Linked DNA regions of Bombyx mori. The main gene of each other region encodes a partner of the protein of the gene in region 5 in a complex. Links are inferred from orthologs where the notes say so. Each region holds a gene or a part of one and is shown on either strand. Other genes may lie near its edges. The genes, in order: rapamycin-insensitive companion of mTOR, rptor, TOR1, target of rapamycin complex subunit lst8 and stress-activated map kinase-interacting protein 1.

Region 1 (3,515 bases), on a different chromosome or scaffold from region 5:
GTGCGCGTGAAAGAAGTGAAACTTCTTTTGCGGAATGTACAATAGTAATGTGCTTTTCTTCATTTTTCATCCTTTAACAAAAATTCGCCTGTAAGAGAAATGCTATGTACAAGAGAAACGACCTAGCTCGCTTTTTTATTTCCCTCTCTCCACGGTTGAGTGGTTCGCCAAACGCTGTCTATTTTCTTACTCTGGCTATTCCTAAACGAAACTGTCGCGAGTTAAATTATACTCTCAACGCGCCTAAAGAAGTTTCACTTCAAAAACTTCGAGCGTTACCTTTAAAATAGTTCTTATGATTTCCCAATTCCAAGTATTTCCGTCTTTGTTCTGCATGACCAAGGTGGACCGGATCAAACTGTCGCTGTCTCGCTCGAACAAATTGAAAAACTTGGCCGACTTGGCGACCTTGCTCACGGCGGCGCTAGTTCGCGAAGTTACGCTTTTACTTTTAACGAGCGCACTGATGTTTCTGTTGGTGACGTCATTTCGGGAGCCGACGCTGTGCCTTTGTTTCGTTTCGTTCTCGTTGTCCGATTCGTTCAGCAGTTCTATGCTGTCGTTTTTGTGAATGCCGATCTCCTGTCTCGGTCTTATGTTGGCGTTGTCCTTCTCTTTCCGACTCTTGGCGGCGTCTTCGTTCTTTTCCTTGAACGCTCCGCTGCAGTACTGAATGATGTGGTCGAGGAAAAGGCTGCTGCTGGCGGGTCTCGCTTCGAGCATCGCGTGCAGTTTCCGCAAGGCGGCCACCGCTGCCAGGGCTTGAGGCTTTCCGTTAGACGCCTGAGACATTAGGACGGGTAAGGCGGGCGTGATGTTACATATCGGAGGAGGCAGGAACAAGTGTACTAAATGCAGCAGCTGGCCGAGTAGAACCGTAGCGCGCACCGATATAAAAGTGTCGCTCGTCACGATCACTTCAGCTAACCCGTCCAGTAGACCGACCTAGAATTTAATTGTATACTATAATACTGCTGTAAACATTAAAAAAAAAATTGTATAACGCGAATAGGGTTGTACCTCTAGGAAACATTGAAGTAATAGAGCTAAGTGGTTTTCCGTAATATCGGGTCCCGTAGCTGCGAGATGAGGTAGTATTGCGATGCCTTCCGCGGCAACAAATCCTTCGTTAAGCCGCCACGTATCCTAGAGACATTACAAATATAAATTTCGTGTAAGTTAGATGAAACTTTGATAAAACCAACAGCATTATGTTAAAATTAACCTGAAAGTCTGAAGGGTCCACAGCGTCCAGCGCGACTGAGATCTCATCTGTCCATTCAGGTTGTGGTAGCCCTACTAATTCGTATAGCAAATCCAATATTGCTTTCTGTAATATAACACACATACAAACAATAAATGTTAACTATGAACCATACAATTAATTCCCTTATTCAAAACCAATCAACTGTGTACTTAAACCATTTTTATGGTTTACCATAAATACATAATATATTATATTGCATAGACTAGTGAATGAGCTCACGGCCCACATGATGTCAAATGGTTACCGCAACACGAAGACATCATAACAGGCAGAAATACACTACCCATGCGGGTTCACAACGAACATGAACATATGTTAAAAAATTGACACCTGTATGCGGTATTAGAACACCGACATAGTAGTATCGTTCCATCTGAGTGCATCAATCGACTTATCCTTTAAGCCACGACCATTTCAAAATCATTAAGCAATTAATTTGATTTACAATTAAAACTGGCACTTACCCGAACTTCAAGACGAGGTAAATATAGAGCAGCAACAAGTGATCGTAATCCCCCAGCACTCGATGGGTGACAAAAATGTAACAACCCTGGCCAACTCCTTAAAACGCATAGCAACGCCAATCTACTGCAGGTGAACCGCATCTCTCTCTCATCCCTATAAAGAAATAAGTATTTTAGGTTTCAATTGTAGTGCCAACTATGTTTGAGCCGAACACTGATGCTAAATACCCAGTGATTTACAACATGGCCTATCCTATTATTCCTAGCTATATCATCCACAGTCAGTAATTGATTTTTTTAGCTATTGCTTTAATTATTCTTTACTAAAGGATTTAAAAAAAAATACTGCGATTATTTTTTTAGGTTGCATTAGTTAAGAGACTAGACTAAGAGATTTTATTTTCCAAAGAAAACTTTAAATTATTCATACCCGTCGGTTGCGACGAAGGGCTCTACAAGTAATTTGACCTACAAACAGCCCACTGAGTTTCTCGCCCGATCTTCTCAGTGGGTCGCGTTTCCGATCCGGTGGTAGATTCTGCGAAGCACGGCTCTTGCTAGGGTTTGTGTTAGCAACGTCGTCAAGTTTGAGCCCCGTGAGCTCACTAATAGTTAAGGTTATGCTGAAATAGCCTCTCAAGGCTAGTCTCAGTTTAGGTAGGAAAAAAAAAACAATTATTAGCTTTAATTTGCACCATTGTTTTGATTTGTCTGGAAAGTGAACGGCTAATATCCATTTTTATAAGAAGCTTATAATAAAAACCTGGTGGAATCTGTAGGCGCTGAACGGAAGTGGAAGTCACAGTACGGTGCAGCTAGATGCGTCAGACAGGCTGTGGTGAGGCGGGCGGCACGTCGCGGGCCCGGTCGGTCTAACACGTGCAGGAGAGCACCGCACAACGCCTCCGCTTGTCGCGGGGTCGCGCATTCGGCCAGCTGGCGGGACACGGCACTGGCGCCGCCACACCACACCCACAGCTCCGGGTTGACAACGCCTGACAGACATAAATTATTATTTTTGAAGTGAAACTTCTTTAGATCGTTGTGCTTTCAAACTCCATGAAACGAAAAAATAAGTCCATAGACACAAACACAAATGAATAGGATTCAGCCGGCAAGAGAATGCGATAGAACACATTAGACATTCTCGGTCTCTGCTTTGTTGTTCTCTTTCTCTTCGTAGCATCCCCACTATCGTATACTAAACATTGTCCATATGTATGCTTCTGTGTAGTGGGATAGTCAGTATATCTATATCTTATTTATAAGTTTCACTTCTACCGTGTGTGACATGAACACACACATTTTTTATTTTATTTTATTTTTATTGCTTAGATGAGTGGACGAGCTCACTGCCCACCTGGTGTTAAGTGGTTACTGGAGTCCATAAACATTTACAACGTAAATGCGCCACCCACCTTGAGATATAAGCTGTAAGGTCTCGCTATAGTTACAACGGCAGCCCTGCCCTTCTAACTGAAACGCATTACTGCTTCACGACAGAAATAGGCAGGGTGGTAGCACCTACCCGTGCGGACTCACAAGAGGTCCTACCACCAGTAAAGTACCGCCAGTAAGAACATTACTTAGCTTCTCGACCAGCAGTGTTACTTTTTGATATCCACAATTTGTAAGACGGTGAACATTAGCATTCATGTTATGCGCTAATAACTTTAGCTGATAATTTGTCAAGACGAAGGTTCCTGCGTGATAATAGTCTGGCTATGAATGAAAAGGGAAAGGTTCTAAAAAAATTTTTTTCTTTTACATAGACACCTTGAACC
Region 2 (3,515 bases), on a different chromosome or scaffold from region 5:
GACGAGCTTACAGTCCACCTGGTGTTAAGTGGTTACTGGAGTCCATAGACATCTGCAATGTAAATGCACCACCCAACTTGAGATATAAGTTCTAAAGTATCAGTAAAGTTACAATGACTGCCCCGCACTTTAAACCGAAAATTGTTTCTGCTTCACGACAGAAATAGGTAAAGTGGTGGTACCTACCCGTGCGGACTCACAAGAGGTCCTAGCACCAGTAATTACTCAAATTATAATTTTGCCTATACTCTGCACAAAGTCGAGCGCGTTTCAAGCGGTTGCGCCTGCCGGTAGATGTCAATATAGATAAGTAAATCGAAACTACATTCAGCTCCCTACACGTGCGTGAGTAACTCAATAAGGGACGAGTGTTGTTGAGGCGACAATATACGATGCCTATACACACAAGAGTACGTACCAGCCGGTGACGAGCAGGTCGGCGCGCAGCGAGTGCGCGGCGGCCAGCACGGGCGCGGCGTGGCGGCGCAGGTCGTGCGTGGGCGCCAGGGTGCGCTGGTCCCACAGCCGCACGGCGCCGTCCTGGAAGCCGGCGGCCAGCACGTCGGGGCGCGCGGCCCCCAGCGCGGTGAGGGCGGCGTCCCCGGGCGCGGCCAGGTCGCCCACCCGCAGCTCGCGCCGCGCGTCCCACAGCCGCACGCCGCGCGCGCGCCCGCCCGCCGCCACCCAGCGCCGCGCCGCCACCCAGCGTACCACCGTGCCGCCGCCCACTGCGCACACGTACCCCCCAACACATTGTAATTGAGTGTAGGAAATGAACACCTTTTAAATTGAGTCCTACAGTTCATTTATCTATTAAATCAGTTCTAAAAGATGTTGAACGTGACAACGTCATAAGAAAATACTGATGGAATGGTTTCATTTTTCAATTCTCGCAATTATCGTTGCTATAAACAATTGACACCACATTCACTTTTCACTGAACTTCATACTTGACGACAACATGTAAATGTATTATTGTATAGCAGCTGTCCACACGGATGCATCGCTCACTCAAGTAGGAGAGAGACAGATGTCGAACGCTGCCGAACGCGGAGGCCGATTGTGCCTCTTTGTCGCTCGTTGCGCGCTCTCGTTTGCACTTCAAGCCTTAAATGGAACGCCTCAGAGCGAGGTAACGCCGCATGAGTCATGTTTTTTCGTGCGGGCAGCCGGCTCCATCGAATTATAAGACGTTGTCACGTCAAAACCATTTTTTTTTTTAAAAATAATTCTCATTAGAATTTAGAAATATATATCTTTAACAAATAAAAATTATAGATCAACAAATGAGACCATTACTTTTATTAACTAGACGTGAATTAGCGCCTGACGAAAGGGTTCGATCGGACTCGCTCATTGGACCGTAGGATCACCCTTTCTATAGAGCAAATGTGCCATTAATACATCCGCTGTTCCTCAAATTAATATTTAAAATATTGACTGTTGATATAGAGATGAGTTGATTAAAGTGCCACTTACAGTTGGGGTCGGCCTGTTGCTTGTTTTTGTTCGTCGCTAGTTTGTCTTCGTTCGAGGAGAACTGATCAGAGACCAGTTGAGCTATACCTGGGATAGATTGTGATTACATTGCATTTGTAACGAAAAGATTGCTGCGGCGGTAAAGTTACTGCGAACAAATCACGCCCGGTCATACGGTCACAGATTAGGATTCCCTTTGGTCAGGATTTTTTTTTAAGAGATTTTATGACCTGGTAACTGAGACCTTGAAGTCATGTCTTATTTTCATTTATATTATTCATATTTTTATGAAAAATGATATTATGGAGTGAAATAAAATGAAGATAATTAATTTGAGACACTAATCAACTGGGATGAAATTAAATGAAATGAATTGAGATGAAATATAATCTCAGTAAAATGGTGGTCATTTACTAAGATTTTTTCAGTGGACTTTTTAGAGGATCCCGAGGAGTTACGTCCAGCGGCTTTGTTTCATTTTCCCACATTTGTGCACTTTCACAGATATTAAACAGTTAATAAACTACCATTATTACACATTTAAACCCGAGGAAACACTAAATAGACAAATTATTTTGTCACAACAAATCACACAACTTCACTCCTCGCGTTCCCGCCAAAAAGTCCCTTTGGTCAGCGTATCAGAGACTGACATAGATTATATATCGTGCCTTTAAATATATATAATAATATGGAGTAGGTATAGTAAGCGGCACGTAAGTTGGCAAGGTTTTGGTGTAGTGGGGGTAATGTCGCGCATAGTGCACATTGCAACAAAAAAATGGTCATTTTTATTGCCCGCATATAATTTAATTTAATTTTATTTTATTGTTTATTTGCCATAACTTATTTTTAAGCCTGTGTGTTTTGAAGAACGTTAAAGAAAAGAGAGGAATTCGTGAAGTGTATTAGGTGTTATAAATAAAATACAATTAAAAGTTACTATATAATTAAATTTTAATTGTTAGTAATATACTTAATATTAAAAATTATGTGTCGCCGTCGTCACTATCATTTTCTAATATTGCTACCCCTTGGATTAAATTTATTGTAGCACCTGAGCTGGTGGAAGGAGTTGGCTCCTCATCGTCGACATAACGAAGAGTCGCTGTCGTCACTGGCGTAAATAATAAAACGCTCAGTGACTGAATCTACTATATGGTAATTGGTATTTGGTCCTGGCATTGCAAACAAATTTAAAACAATAACACTCGTAACAAAAACTAAATTTAAACAATAATAACAACTCCAAACAAAAAAAAATATATAAAAAAAGGGTATCCTACAACTTAGTAGGCAAATGTGTAGCCGGGAGCGAACGGAACGCGGACGCGGTGCGGGAGGGGAGGGTCGACTGACGCACCAATCGCGCGCTCGGAACGGTGCTACGTCTTTCCCCGCGTCCCGCTTGACAACCAAAGAGACCTAAAAAATGACTTCTGCGCATCTAACGACTCTTGCCAAGTTACGTGCCGGGGACTATACTTCAGGATGAATAAACAATAAAATACTTAATTGTGTTCTCTGTAATATAATAAGAAAAGAACATTTAAAGCCCTTAATCTCTTTTAAATTTAATAACCAAAATTAAACTGTATTAATGAACTATCCAAACTGAGCTCTCTTTTTATTGAATAACTGACTTCACTACATGAAACTGAAGAAAAACCCTTTTTAAAACCTAAGGAGTTTTAAATAATAAAGGTTTTCGGCTTAATTAGCTACTACGTCACTGAGTCAGTTAATAAGCGCTTTTTTTTTACTGGTTACTGGAGCCCATAGATATCTACAACGTAAATGCGCCTACACATCTTAAGATATAAGTTCTAGTCTTAGTATAGTTACAACGGCTGCCCCAACTCACTTACAAATTACAATACCCCACAATACACTACCCCAAATTACGATACTGCATTTGGCCCCAAATGACGTTACAGGTAAATAAGTTGCGTTTTGTAGTATACGGGACAATGTTGAATGTACTGTGTCCCAGGCGCTAGATTCGTTCTAATACTATACTATGAGTAGTTCTTGTG
Region 3 (3,515 bases), on a different chromosome or scaffold from region 5:
CTGGAAACGCACTGTGGATGAACGCAGTGGCTCCAGGTAGTACGGATGAACTCTACTCCGGTGGCGGGCGGTTCGATGGTATCGTTTCGAACAATTCCTCAGAGCACTCCCGAACCTCACCTTATGCTTCAGCATCAACTTCTGGTAATCCGAGGCCATCCTCAACATGATCTGCTGTTCCGTGTTCAGCGCCGTTTTGTTCGTCTTTTTATCGCGAAATTCGCTGATTAGATTGTAGAGAGTGTCGCAGTGCGGGACCCAGCCGATGAGTCCGGAGTTGGGGGAGAGCGGTATGACCGCGTATCTCTGTATGGCGAGGTCGTGTCGGTACGTGTCGGCGTCGGCCCGCAGCAGAGCGTTGACCAATCCGAAGAGCTGCATCACGCGCTCGTCCTGCCGCAGGTCCTCGTGGCCCTTCAGCAGGAACATGTACTGTTTGCCGTCAGAGCCCTGTATGGTCAGACGTCTCGGACGCTGCTTCGACTTGATTACCTGACACAAAAGAATAAGGTTCAAGCAAATTTTAATACGCTTTTATTACCTTCAGACGTGTGTATGTTTGTAACGGAATCTTTGAACATGATTTTGACCCCCTTCAAAACGTCCGATTAACTCGAAATTTGGTATACTTAATAAAAAAATTGAAAAAATTGAAATTCAGCTAAAAAATTAAAAATAAATAATAATTTAAAAAAAAACCAACAAAATACGCTTTTATAGATAATCCAACTAAAAAATAGAAAATAAACTTGAATAAAAAATAGTGTAGAAAAAAATGATTTTATTGTATTATAAAAAAAGGGTATATTTAAAAACACATTTAGTTTGACTTTCGTAAGTTCAAGAACACGGAAACTACCAAGTCTTTGAAACGTAGGAAATGTTTTTTTATTTATTGCTTAGATGGACGTGTGTGAGGCTTAAACAACGAAAGGAAGATCTTCCACCAAGCAGGTGATATTGTTCGGTAGACCGACGGTCCAAATGTTGTTGTTCGGAACTTGTATATTATTATATTCAAGCTTCTTGTCGTAAGCGAGATTCAGGCATCGGTCAAATATCTTGTATTGTATGATGGCTACCCGCCACAGACGGATGGATGAGCTCACAGCCCACCTGGCGTTAAGTGGTTACTGGAGCCCATAGACGTCTACAATGTAAATGCAAACACCCACCATGAGATAAGAGTTCAAAGGTCTCAGTATAGTTACAACGGCTGCCCCACCCTTCAAACCGAAACGCATTACTGCTTCACGGCAGAAATAGGCAGGGTGGTGGTTGGTACCGAGTAGGTACTCGTGTGAGCTCCCGTGATATAACAATATAGAAGTAAGATCAAATAGACAATAAAATATTTATTATAAAAAAAAAGAACACAATTCCTAACCTAAAAGTACATGTTATTATCCATAATATCAAATTATGTTCTGATAATTATTACCTGTCATTGCTAATTGAATATTAATTTGTCAATCACAAAATTGTGCAATCGAATCTGAATATGAAGAGAATTTAAAATGCTATAACGCCCTAATTAAGTTATCACAATTCAATAGAACGTCAAAGCTTAAAGCTCTTCTAAAATTACTATTTAGTTGATGGTTAACGATACATATATTTACGCAAAATCTTAATCAAAAAATTTTTAAAATTCGAAATTCTTGCAAAGTAACTTAGAGAGAGAGAGAGAATACTCTTTATTGCACACCAAAACACAATTTACATTAAAAAAGCAGATACATTTGTACAATAGGCGGTCTTATCGCTAAAAGCGATCTCTTGCAGACAACCGTTTAATTTACAGAAATTCTGGAAAATATAAAAATATAGCAGGTATGTTGCGGTGTACCATAGACAATATATACATACAATTAACAGATATATACCGTTTACATAATATGTATTATATTATAATATAATATATACCAATATACATACTTAGACAATCTGAAATGAAAAACTAACTCACTTTTCGCCTGCGCTATAGTTTTTTAGGCGAAACGGCTATCAGTGTTGATGATACTAATTCGCAACTAAATTCGTACCTGCAAATTGCTGTGTATGTACGAGATGTTAATTATTTTCTGATTAGGCACGTACGAGCCCGGGACGGCCAGCTCCAGGTCCTTGCACGAATGCAAACGTTTGCTGACGTACTGCAGCTCCAGTGACGTCAGCGACCGGAACTGGGCTTGGATGCGCCGCACCACGTGGTAGTACAGATCCCACGCTTCGTTCAGGTACCTCTCTTCGTTGCTCTCCTGTATTAATAAATAATACTTAATATATAAACTCAATGTTGAAAAAAAAATGGCGGATAGAAAGCGATTGCATGCAGCAGAGATGCTAATGTTGCGATGCATGTTTTTTTTTTATGATTGAAGTATTACTGGTGGCCCGGAGGCCGTTCCAGTTTCGCCAGGACAGGTGGGCGACCAAAGGCTCAGCCAGAAGGGGTGGCATTTGCTAACAGCCACCCGAGCGCCTCCGAAGGAGACCTAGGAACTCAAGAGCAATTGCTTCGCGAATGAATCTACTACCGGATCGGAATCGCGACCCGCTGAGAAGATCCGGCGAGAAACTCAGCGGGCTGATGCATGGGTTAGGTTGCACGTCGACCTCTTTGTCGAGTTCGGCGAGTACGGTTACCGGGGTTCCTCAGCCTGCTCTTAGTGTTAGAGCTGAAGGTACCTAATGCAAGAGTTATTGGATCTGACGTGTCTAGGGCGACGACGGTGACTTGCTCCTGCGTGATTAGGATTCGGGGAGCGAGGGATGTGTAGTAACGAGAATGGATAGAATACAGAATGAATATATTAGAGGAAGTCTGAAAGTGGCCCCTGTGACAGAGAAGTTGAAAAGTGCGCGTTTGGGATGGGTATGGACATGTGATGAGAGAGTGTTAACTATGAATGTGGAAGGATATAGAGGAAGAGGTAGACCTAAGAAGAAATGGATGATCCATTTTTTCTCACATATATGTGTAAGAGGGGAGCGAGCGAAGAAATGGTATATGATAGAAGAGTATGGAAGGAGAAAACATGTTACGTCGACCCCAGGTGACTGGGAGAATGGTAGACAAATGATGATGATGATATCAACTTGAATCTTTCAAGTACTTTTCATCATTGAAGGATTACTGGTGGCCCCGATGCTTTTCCAGTTACACCAGAGAGAGAGGTAGCAAAGATATTGGTTAAATAATACATTATAATGTTTAAACCAGGGTTATGAGACCTTATGCCTGTAACAAGTTTACCTTGTATAACTCGCACCAGCGCCGCGCCTCCTGTAGATCGCGTCCATACATCTGCAGGAATGAGACTTCCTTCAACGTCTCCGGAGGGGTATCCAGCATTGCGTGCATTTTGTCCAAAGTTTTAAACATTCTCTTATAATCTTTCTCGCTGAAACAAAACCTGAAATCATCGCCGGAGATTAGTTGTTCAATATTTGGTATATTTATCTAAAATTATCTGTACCCAACAAACCTTGACGCTTCATCGAGTGCTATG
Region 4 (4,286 bases), on a different chromosome or scaffold from region 5:
GTCCTGAATCGACGCCTCCGCTTCTGGTATCTAACAAAAATAAGGATAAATAGTATAATATTTATGTGTAACATGTAAATGAAATAAACATGGTTTATTTAAATTGAATTATGTGGTTGGACAGGCACTTGGCTAATGATTGATCAATTACTAGAGCTTATCAATAAAACATAAATGCTCAAAACTGATGATTGTTTCGTGGAAAAAAAAAGGTAGGATGGTGGTCCATACACAAGTGGGTTTATAATACATCCAACCATCAATCAACCTATTAAGGACAGCAGAAATATGTTATAATATACAGAAAATACTACTGGCCATTCTCTAGTAAATACCTCAGTAGCCTTTCTATATATCCATTATGAGCATATTGGTGATATCATGTTGGCATCAGCTTTTTATGCAGGAACACTACTGAATAGGATGCGGAGATAGAGTGTTCCTTTCACTTTTGTAGCTCACCACAACATACTGTATTATAGCTTCTCAGCTGATAGTGGATGTAAAAAAATATATATAGTAAAGTTACCAGTTGTTCATTTTGATCCGTTTTCAGATCCCATATATGTATAATGCCACTCTGGTCTCCAACCATTATCTGGGACTGATCAGGATGAAGCATTACTGCATTCACCGGAGCTTGAACTTGGAATATCTTTTGACACCTTGTACGTGGTGCAGCCCTACATGAGAAACATGCCGCTTTAAAATTTCTATACTAAGCTTTCTAGGTCCAGTCAGTAAATTGTGTTTTTAAACTCAATAAAAGTTAAAGTTTAATTTCAGAGATCAGCAGACAACCTCATGGTCTCCTAGTGTAAATAGTTATTAGCTTCTATGATCTAAATTTTGATTTTATTCCATAACCATTAGCATTACACTTGACAGCTTTAAAGCAGGAATCATATCTTCATACCACCAGTAAATATCAGTTGGTGAATCTTTTATAATAAGCACGAATATAACGAATGATATAAGGTGCTGCATTGTCATCTAGCATCAGAGAAACCTCCAAACATCATTTGGCCAAGGTTAGAAAACACAAATGATGTTACCTAATAACTGGTTGATATAATACATAGCGTCTTTAACCTGGGATCCCATATCCTGGCTGTGCAGTCCTCACCTCCTGTGTACATCCAAGTGCCATTTTTCTGCAAAGTTACAATTTAAAAAAAAAAAAAATTAATGACTTGTCTTATTGTAATAGATGTGTTCACAAATTAAATATCCAATCATAAATATACATAGTTTTTTTTTTTTCTAAAAGATAACAATCTTGAAAAGTTGTTTGAAAATGAATAACTGATTTTAACATCAGTTTTTGTTTAAAAACTGCATGTCGACACAATTTGTGTGTTTTTCAAATTGTTGCCCTAGAAATAATTATAATCTCAAAGATTTATAGTAATTCCTATGCCAGTGAGATCTCAAATATTTAAAGGACACTGAAGATCCAGTTTCAACTGAATGAGTTTTGAACTGAGAAAAGAAATATATTTTTTTTTCTATTCCTGGCAAATATTTAGAGACATATATTAAAGACACGTACTTCCTGTAGTTTACTGTCAGTGACACCTAGGTCACAAATAATCTACCTGAAGGTCATGTATATATTGTTTTCAACAAATTTTAATTGAATTTATGCATAATACCTGAAACCCAACTCGAGATACGTTTTTGGAGATGTCCTCAAAAGTTGTGACCGGGTCTGGATTGGCACTACTAAGATCATATAACCGTATATGCTGAAATCCAGCTGCTGCTACCATCGATGTTGGTGAGATCTCCAAGCTGTTCACTTGCTGAAAGGAAAACTCGTCATGCAATAAGCTTTAGCTGATTTTCATAATATAATCAGTTTGTAAAAATATCACGAAAGTTAATTTAAGTTACCTCACAAAAGATGACTGGCATGTTAATCTGAATTATATTTGTACAAAGTGGTCTGCTTGTATTAAATCTTAGCTCACAATTATCTGACACTGTCGTGACCAGTTTTAATCGTTTAGGTAATTCTCTTTTTTTGGACATTTTTGCAACTTTACAGGAGAGCCATTTAAAGTTTAAAATTCTCATAATAAAAAAAGTCCATCAGCTATTTGGATGCAGTAAGCTTAATTGATGTTCAATCAAAAACATTGAATTGGTGATAGTTAATACCAAATAAAATGGACCTTTAATTACAAAGATAAATGTCGCGTATTAATCGAAATATCGCTTAATTCAAATAGCCTTTCAGCCCTCGTTATTATTCAAAGCGAAATTTCCAAATCAATTTTTTATGAAAATTTAAAATAATCATGCAAATTTACGGAGCGATTTGAATGAGTTATCTGGAAATGAATTGAGTCATTTTGGTCATTTATAGAAGATCAATAACCGAAACATTAAAATATGAAGTACCGAATCTGGATGCTGCATTGTTCGTAAACAAACACCACTGTGTGCCTGCCATAGCTTGATAGTATGATCGTAGCCTCCTGTTACTAAAGCCACCTGCGATCCTCCAAGAGAAGCAGTGGTATCACCAGCCATTTTATGAAACTTATTGTTTAAGCAATTGGCATATTTATTTCTTAAAAGCACATTTTTTTATTTCCAACTGCCAGGTAATTTTGAAATTTCGGATTTTAATTTTTAATTTCGAACTTTCCGAGCAACATAAATCTTGTATGATGTGATATAATCTACGTTATACTTGAACCGAATTATCGGGGCGCTTTTAATATTACTGTAAATTCTAACTAATGCATCTCATAAAGTCAAAACATAACCAAAACAACACAGCACAGGTAATTCAAAGTTGAATGAAGTTAGCCACTCAAAAAAATTTTTTTTTCCTATTTTATACTTATTTTCTATTAATTCGTTTGTTCATCATTTGTTCATGATTGTTCACTGTTAATAATTGTTTGTTCTGCATTTATTTATTTAAAAAAAATATTTAAAAATATACCTACAAGTTAGCCCCTCTAATGCAATTTTTTATATTTTTTCATCCTTAATGACTCGTAAATATTCATTTTCGATTGTTCTTATATAAAACACGTTTGTCCTCTTTCGAAATTACTCGTTTTTTGTTTAATTTACTATTTTTATTAGTTGAATAAATGTATGCAAAATATGTGTACTGCGCATGCGTCAACTATAATGCCTAAACTTTCCACGCGGTTTTAATCGTAAAAAAAAAACAAATATAAATCCTGAAGGAGCAATTAATTGGTATACAGTTTAATTAAAAAAATTAAAAAATAAATAAATGAAATAATGTGCATTGGCGTTAAGTTAGACCAAATACATTTTTTCCATCCTCTTACCTATCGTATTAAAATGTTATTTTACTAATGTTAGGAATATAATTTCGACTGTGTAAAAAAGTTATTATAATGTATACCTATATTATCTCTTGAAAGATAAATAATGAACATATTTACTTATTTGTTTATATTACCTATGTGAACTCCCTATCTTTTTTATACCTTCATAACGATAAGTAGGAGGATGGAAAAAATGTATTTGGTCTAACTTAACGCCAATACACATTATTTCATTTATTTCTTTTTTAATTTTTTTAATTAAACTGTATACCAATTAATTGCTCCTTCAGGATTTATATTTGTTTTTTTTTCACGATTAAAACCGCGTAGAAAGTTTAGGCATTATAGTTGACGCATGCGCAGTACACATATTTTGCATACATTTATTCAACTAATAAAAATAGTAAATTAAACAAAAAACGAGTAATTTCGAAAGAGGACAAACGTGTTTTATATAAGAACAATCGAAAATGAATATTTACGAGTCATTAAGGATGAAAAAATATAAAAAATTGCATTAGAGGGGCTAACTGGTAGGTATATTTTTAAATATTTTTTTTTAAATAAATAAATGCAGAACAAACAATTATTAACAGTGAACAATCATGAACAAATGAATTAATAGAAAATAAGTATAAAATAGGAAAAAAAAATTTTTTGAGGGGCTAACTTCATTCACCTGACTTGAATCACATTTTCTTTGGATGCCTCCTACGTGACTGTTCCTCATTCATAAATTCCCTGATAAACCTCCGAGTTCCTCTTCCCACATCAATCCCTACATTATTAATAATATTAAAATGTAAACAGTTTTAAAATATAATATTCTTTTTATTTATACCCAATCACTATATATTATGAACTCTTAGGCATTATTATATATTATTATCCTATTACGTACATATCCTTTCCAAATTTCGAACCTTCCAATTGATTCCTAAATAAAACTGGTTTCCCTACCTTTTC
Region 5 (4,020 bases):
CTTCATATTTCACATCTCTTTTTTAAGCATAATACATATTATTCCTATTCAATCACAACATCCCTTTCAAACAGCTCGTAACTACTTATTGTTTATGCTACCAGTACTACTTCTGGTACTATCTCATGGTGAGCAACAGCATCTACAGTGTGGTGTATATTTGTTATTATATATTTTACATAATATTATTTAAAAGTTAATAAAACAGATTAATATGTTGTAATTGCACATAATCTTCAGAATTTTTCATCGAATATTACACGACACACTCATCTAGTACTACATGCGGAAGAAACGATTTGAATGGTACCTATATTCTTTAATTGGGTTGAAACGTTGACCCATATTAAATATCGTAAAATCTATCCATTAATGACTCAAATTTTATAGAATTGTTGCAATTTGGACAGCTTAAAGCCTATGTAGTTAGGTCACAACATATACAAATAATTTACTTACCACAATTTGTCTACCTAAATAAAATGTTTTAGTTATTATAATTCAATTTGCCGTAAATGTGCACAAATTTAACCAAAATTAATATTTAATAATCCTATATTTAAATCCAGATAAATGTAACTCGTTAATAAAGTTTATTGAATGAATGTGTTTAAAATAAAGAGCTTTTTTCTGTTGTTGTTTTTAATGTTTTTATTACATAGGTCATAGATTATACACTTATGACATAGGTACCTAGTAGGTAGGTGTTGTTTCATTTGTGCAGATAAATAGGCAAAGAAATACAAAAATAGACAGACAATATTTTGGAAGAAAACAGGTGACCAAACATTGCGGCGAAGGTTATTCTGACTAACCGAAATGCATTACTGCTTCACCGCAGAAGCAGGCAGGGTGCTAGTGCCAGCCCGCGTGAACTCACAAGACACTACCTAGATTAGAAAATTTTGCAGTAGGCAACGACTTGGCTGTATCTTTATTATTCCATATCGAATAGTAAACGTTCGTCAGCGTCAATAACCACTAACCATCGGAAGGGCAGTATGCACGTCTGCCTACAACATCAACAAAAAATAATGATAAAGTACTTCTATAAAGTATTTTATATAATAAAAATAAATTAAATAAAAAAATGATAGTGAGAGTGACATATTAATTTACATTAGAGTGGGCAAAGCAAAAAGTCATTTATGTCCATATTATGCTACATGGCCTGTAAGGTCTTGTAGCCCTTGACCGAAAATGAAATGAAAAAAATCTGTTTAAATCAAAATTCAAAACATCAAACATAACACTTCAAAATTTTGCAAAACATGTTTTGGCCGTGGCGCATGATGCGTTATTATTATATATTTCATTAAGAGGATATGAATCTTATTTAAGAAAAAATGGCCACATACGACAACAAAATTTGGCTGTTGAAAAACATTAGAGATGCCTTCATAGCTACTGACGACACAGGCCTATGTGAAATTGTTATGGCAGGTGAAGATTTTTCTAAGATCTTCCAGATTAAGGGTTTAGAAGAAAAAAAAAGAATAAAAGAAGCTCGAGCGCTTCAGCCTGGAACTAGTAAAATAAGGGAAGGTGGAGACTCTTGTGAAGATTTCGAAAGAGAAATTATCACTCAATTTGAACCATATCCTGATATTGATGAAAGTGAAGATGAAGATCCCTTAGGTAGTAGCTATGTTCGATATGAAGAGTTTGGAGGTTACAGGTACGTCCAACATTAAGAACTGTATAGTTGAGATTTATTTTATTTTATTGTATAATGTTGTCTTGCAGGTTTCAAATGTCGTTCATCTAATTCATTAAAACGACGAAGCTCAAATCAGATTCAATTATAAAAGTCTGTCTATTAATCATAAGATACTATTTTCCTTTTTTTTCTCTTGTTTCTTAATTGTTGTCATAGCTACCTGCTAGTAGAGAACAAACCACGATCTCGATACAATCAAGACTTCAATTGTGTTTCACCAGTCAGGTGGACAGTGGGAAAATTAAAACTATATTTTTTGTTAAATTTATTTAAAATTAAAATTTTTACATTACTTTTTTTTACACACAATTTTTACATACAAAACATTAAAAAAGAAAGCTAAAACCATCCATGTCTGAAAATTTCACCAAAAAAATGTATGTTCTAGGCAGAGATCAAACACATCACAATGGTTAGACAAAAAGGAGCAGGCATTAAAAAAGGCAGCCAAAATTAAAGTAATTAAGTGGGAAGATTCATCACCACTGAGCAAGGAGCAATGTATGGAGTTATTCCCTACAGTCGAAGTTAAACCTCCAGAAAAACAAAAGTCATTATTGGCTCAGCAGCTAGAGAACTGCCCAGATCTACCTCATCGTCAGTATCTGGAGTATGGAAAGTTTGATGGCACAGCACAACTAGGATTACAAACAAAATGCTTTAAGATCTTTATGACGATGCTCTCGGAAAAACATCAAAATTATCCATTAGTTGTGTGTGTGATTGCTAGTGCCAAGATCAAAGATTTGATTGGTTTTACATGCTATAAATACAGGTGATGTTGCAAATAATTTCTAATTTTTCTTTATGTGTAGGGTGAATGAGCTTTCGGTCATTGTGTGGTTGTATATTGTTACGGTCTGGGGTTCAGGATAAATAAAAGCTCCACCAAAGTACAACTTAAAACTGTATTTAACACTTAGAACATTCTCAGAACACTTTACAACTCGTAATTCACTTTTTTCATTGCCAGCTATGTGTTTCCGCTATTTGATAATTGATAGCATTGTACTTCTTGGGTGTTCTCGATTTTACAAGTTCTTTTGATATTCGTTGCTTCTATTGGACAACAGATGGCGTTGCTCTTACCGGCGTAACAATATGAATGACACCAGCCTACGTGATATATGAGCATTAGCTATCCTTCATACCAGGACACATGACTTACACTTTTTAATGTTTATTTTTCATTACAGCATTGAACATCCTGAAATTAGTCTTGGCTCTGTGCATGAATATGGACTTTGTATAGCGGAAGATGATGGAGAAGTTGACTGGGCGTTCCCATGCCTCGATGCCAACGAACCATGCTCAAAGTTTGGCTTCACATGTTTAGGACTTATTGAGTTAAAAAACAAGAAATCATTTAACAGTCCTCCAATCCCAATGCCCGATGACGGTCATGTGTTTCATTTATTTCCCAAAATGACCGACTCTGGACAAAGTCACAATAATCCATCTAGACACAATACAGGTGGAAGTCAAACTTCAGAAGCTGTTATAAGTGCATTAAGGGCTGTTAATGAAGGTTAGCATATTGTTCTTTTATTTTGTTAAAATTGATTAATCTTTCAATAAACTTCTTACAGTTACAGAAAAAACTACAGTTTGATAGATAAGACCATACATAAACTTTAAAAAGTTAAGTATGATTACTTTTTTTTTATTACTTAAATGGTTGAACGAGCTCACAGCCCACCTAGTGTTAAGTGGTTACTGAAGCCCATAGACATCTACAACGTAAATGCGCCACCCACCTTGAGATATAAGTTCGTAGGTCTCAGTATAGTTATTAAGTAAAATGAATGGAACTAAATTTTCAGAGAAAAAAAGCAGTGAAGATGCAAACCTAGAAAAGATTCAGTGTCATATAATGGCCACAGAAGCACCACAGTATAAATCATATAAAGTGCAATTATTAAGGAAAGTACGAACTAACACTTCTGTACAACTTGGCATCTCATTAGATAGAATAGAAATTGAACCTTTAGTTACTCATAAACATGTATTTTGGGTAAGTAGCAGCTATGATACTTGAGTATATTTCTTTGTTTTGATGAGCCATAAACTTAATAGAAAGTATACTATTGCAACTGTAAAAACTAAAGGGTTTAATTAAAGGAATGTAGGATGAAACCAAAATTGCCATTGATGGTATTGAGGCGGGTAGCCATCATACAACGCAAGATAATTGACAGATGCCTGAATCTCGCTTACGACATTTTCAAGATAAGCTTGCATATATATATATATTTTTTTTTTTTATTGCCCTTTTATGCTGGCGAGCATACGGCCCACCT

What was found.
Region 1: the proteins of stress-activated map kinase-interacting protein 1 (region 5) and rapamycin-insensitive companion of mTOR are in contact, whole or in part, in a cryo-EM structure (PDB 7PE7), measured with the Homo sapiens proteins. The link is inferred for Bombyx mori from reciprocal best matches to the Homo sapiens genes MAPKAP1 and RICTOR. Residues at the interface, in NP_001006618.1 of Homo sapiens: Ala2, Phe3, Leu4, Asp5, Asn6, Pro7, Ile9, Ile10, Leu11, Ala12, His13, Ile14, Arg15, Gln16, Ser17, His18, Thr20, Ser21, Asp22, Asp23, Thr24, Met26, Cys27, Met29, Val30, Leu31, Ile32, Asp35, Val36, Ser84; in NP_689969.2 of Homo sapiens: Arg108, Gln137, Glu140, Thr144, Leu147, Arg148, Arg151, Lys152, Thr155, Arg182, Met183, Arg185, Ala186, Ala189, Cys192, Glu193, Leu196, Leu220, Arg222, Ile223, Glu225, Ala226, Leu227, Thr229, Thr230, His233, Asn236, Arg293, Trp295, Glu844.
Region 2: stress-activated map kinase-interacting protein 1 (region 5) and rptor share a complex: the UniProt entries of both Homo sapiens proteins name them as parts of the mechanistic target of rapamycin complex. The link is inferred for Bombyx mori from reciprocal best matches to the Homo sapiens genes MAPKAP1 and RPTOR.
Region 3: stress-activated map kinase-interacting protein 1 (region 5) and TOR1 share a complex: the UniProt entries of both Homo sapiens proteins name them as parts of the mechanistic target of rapamycin complex. The link is inferred for Bombyx mori from reciprocal best matches to the Homo sapiens genes MAPKAP1 and MTOR.
Region 4: the proteins of stress-activated map kinase-interacting protein 1 (region 5) and target of rapamycin complex subunit lst8 are in contact, whole or in part, in a cryo-EM structure (PDB 7PE8), measured with the Homo sapiens proteins. The link is inferred for Bombyx mori from reciprocal best matches to the Homo sapiens genes MAPKAP1 and MLST8. Residues at the interface, in NP_001006618.1 of Homo sapiens: Lys102, Cys103, Lys104, Asn105, Ile106, Gln107, Trp108, Lys109, Arg111, Asn112, Ser113, Lys121, Leu123, Phe124, Glu125, Lys126, Lys127, Ser128, Leu129, Gly137, Lys138, Gln139, Ser140, Ile141, Leu142, Val144, Arg145, Leu146; in NP_001186102.1 of Homo sapiens: Ala29, His30, Pro77, Ile78, Ile79, Ser80, Tyr81, Asp82, Gly83, Arg98, Arg110, Ile111, Trp112, Gln120, Cys121, Gln122, Arg123, Ile124, Asn139, Gln140, Ala141, Leu157, Lys158, Ile203, Glu206, Ser279, Gly280, Asp281, Gln283, Asp322.

Annotation. Positions count from the first base shown.
Region 1 is NC_085128.1:9,702,746-9,706,260, reverse strand, and holds part of rapamycin-insensitive companion of mTOR, read right to left. Parts: intron 2,727-3,515; coding exon 2,495-2,726; intron 1,886-2,494; coding exon 1,732-1,885; intron 1,331-1,731; coding exon 1,226-1,330; intron 1,147-1,225; coding exon 1,021-1,146; intron 946-1,020; coding exon 280-945; intron 1-279. UniProt on the Homo sapiens protein: Component of the mechanistic target of rapamycin complex 2 (mTORC2), which transduces signals from growth factors to pathways involved in proliferation, cytoskeletal organization, lipogenesis and anabolic output.
Region 2 is NC_085123.1:808,893-812,407, reverse strand, and holds part of rptor (regulatory-associated protein of TOR), read right to left. Parts: intron 1,567-3,515; coding exon 1,480-1,566; intron 729-1,479; coding exon 419-728; intron 1-418. UniProt on the Homo sapiens protein: Component of the mechanistic target of rapamycin complex 1 (mTORC1), an evolutionarily conserved central nutrient sensor that stimulates anabolic reactions and macromolecule biosynthesis to promote cellular biomass generation and growth.
Region 3 is NC_085109.1:10,799,543-10,803,057, forward strand, and holds part of TOR1 (target of rapamycin), read right to left. Parts: coding exon 3,492-3,515; intron 3,420-3,491; coding exon 3,260-3,419; intron 2,262-3,259; coding exon 2,046-2,261; intron 493-2,045; coding exon 121-492; intron 1-120. UniProt on the Homo sapiens protein: Serine/threonine protein kinase which is a central regulator of cellular metabolism, growth and survival in response to hormones, growth factors, nutrients, energy and stress signals.
Region 4 is NC_085114.1:11,954,836-11,959,121, forward strand, and holds the start of target of rapamycin complex subunit lst8, read right to left. Parts: upstream 2,813-4,286; 5' UTR 2,539-2,812; coding exon of another isoform or gene 2,407-2,538; 5' UTR 2,080-2,406; coding exon 1,897-2,079; intron 1,806-1,896; coding exon 1,656-1,805; intron 1,155-1,655; coding exon 1,093-1,154; intron 684-1,092; coding exon 530-683; intron 31-529; coding exon 1-30.
Region 5 is NC_085121.1:3,857,627-3,861,646, reverse strand, and holds the start of stress-activated map kinase-interacting protein 1, read left to right. Parts: upstream 1-1,208; 5' UTR 1,209-1,346; coding exon 1,347-1,678; intron 1,679-2,108; coding exon 2,109-2,495; intron 2,496-2,614; exon of another isoform or gene 2,615-2,916; coding exon 2,917-3,248; exon of another isoform or gene 3,249-3,543; coding exon 3,544-3,734; exon of another isoform or gene 3,735-4,020. UniProt on the Homo sapiens protein: Component of the mechanistic target of rapamycin complex 2 (mTORC2), which transduces signals from growth factors to pathways involved in proliferation, cytoskeletal organization, lipogenesis and anabolic output.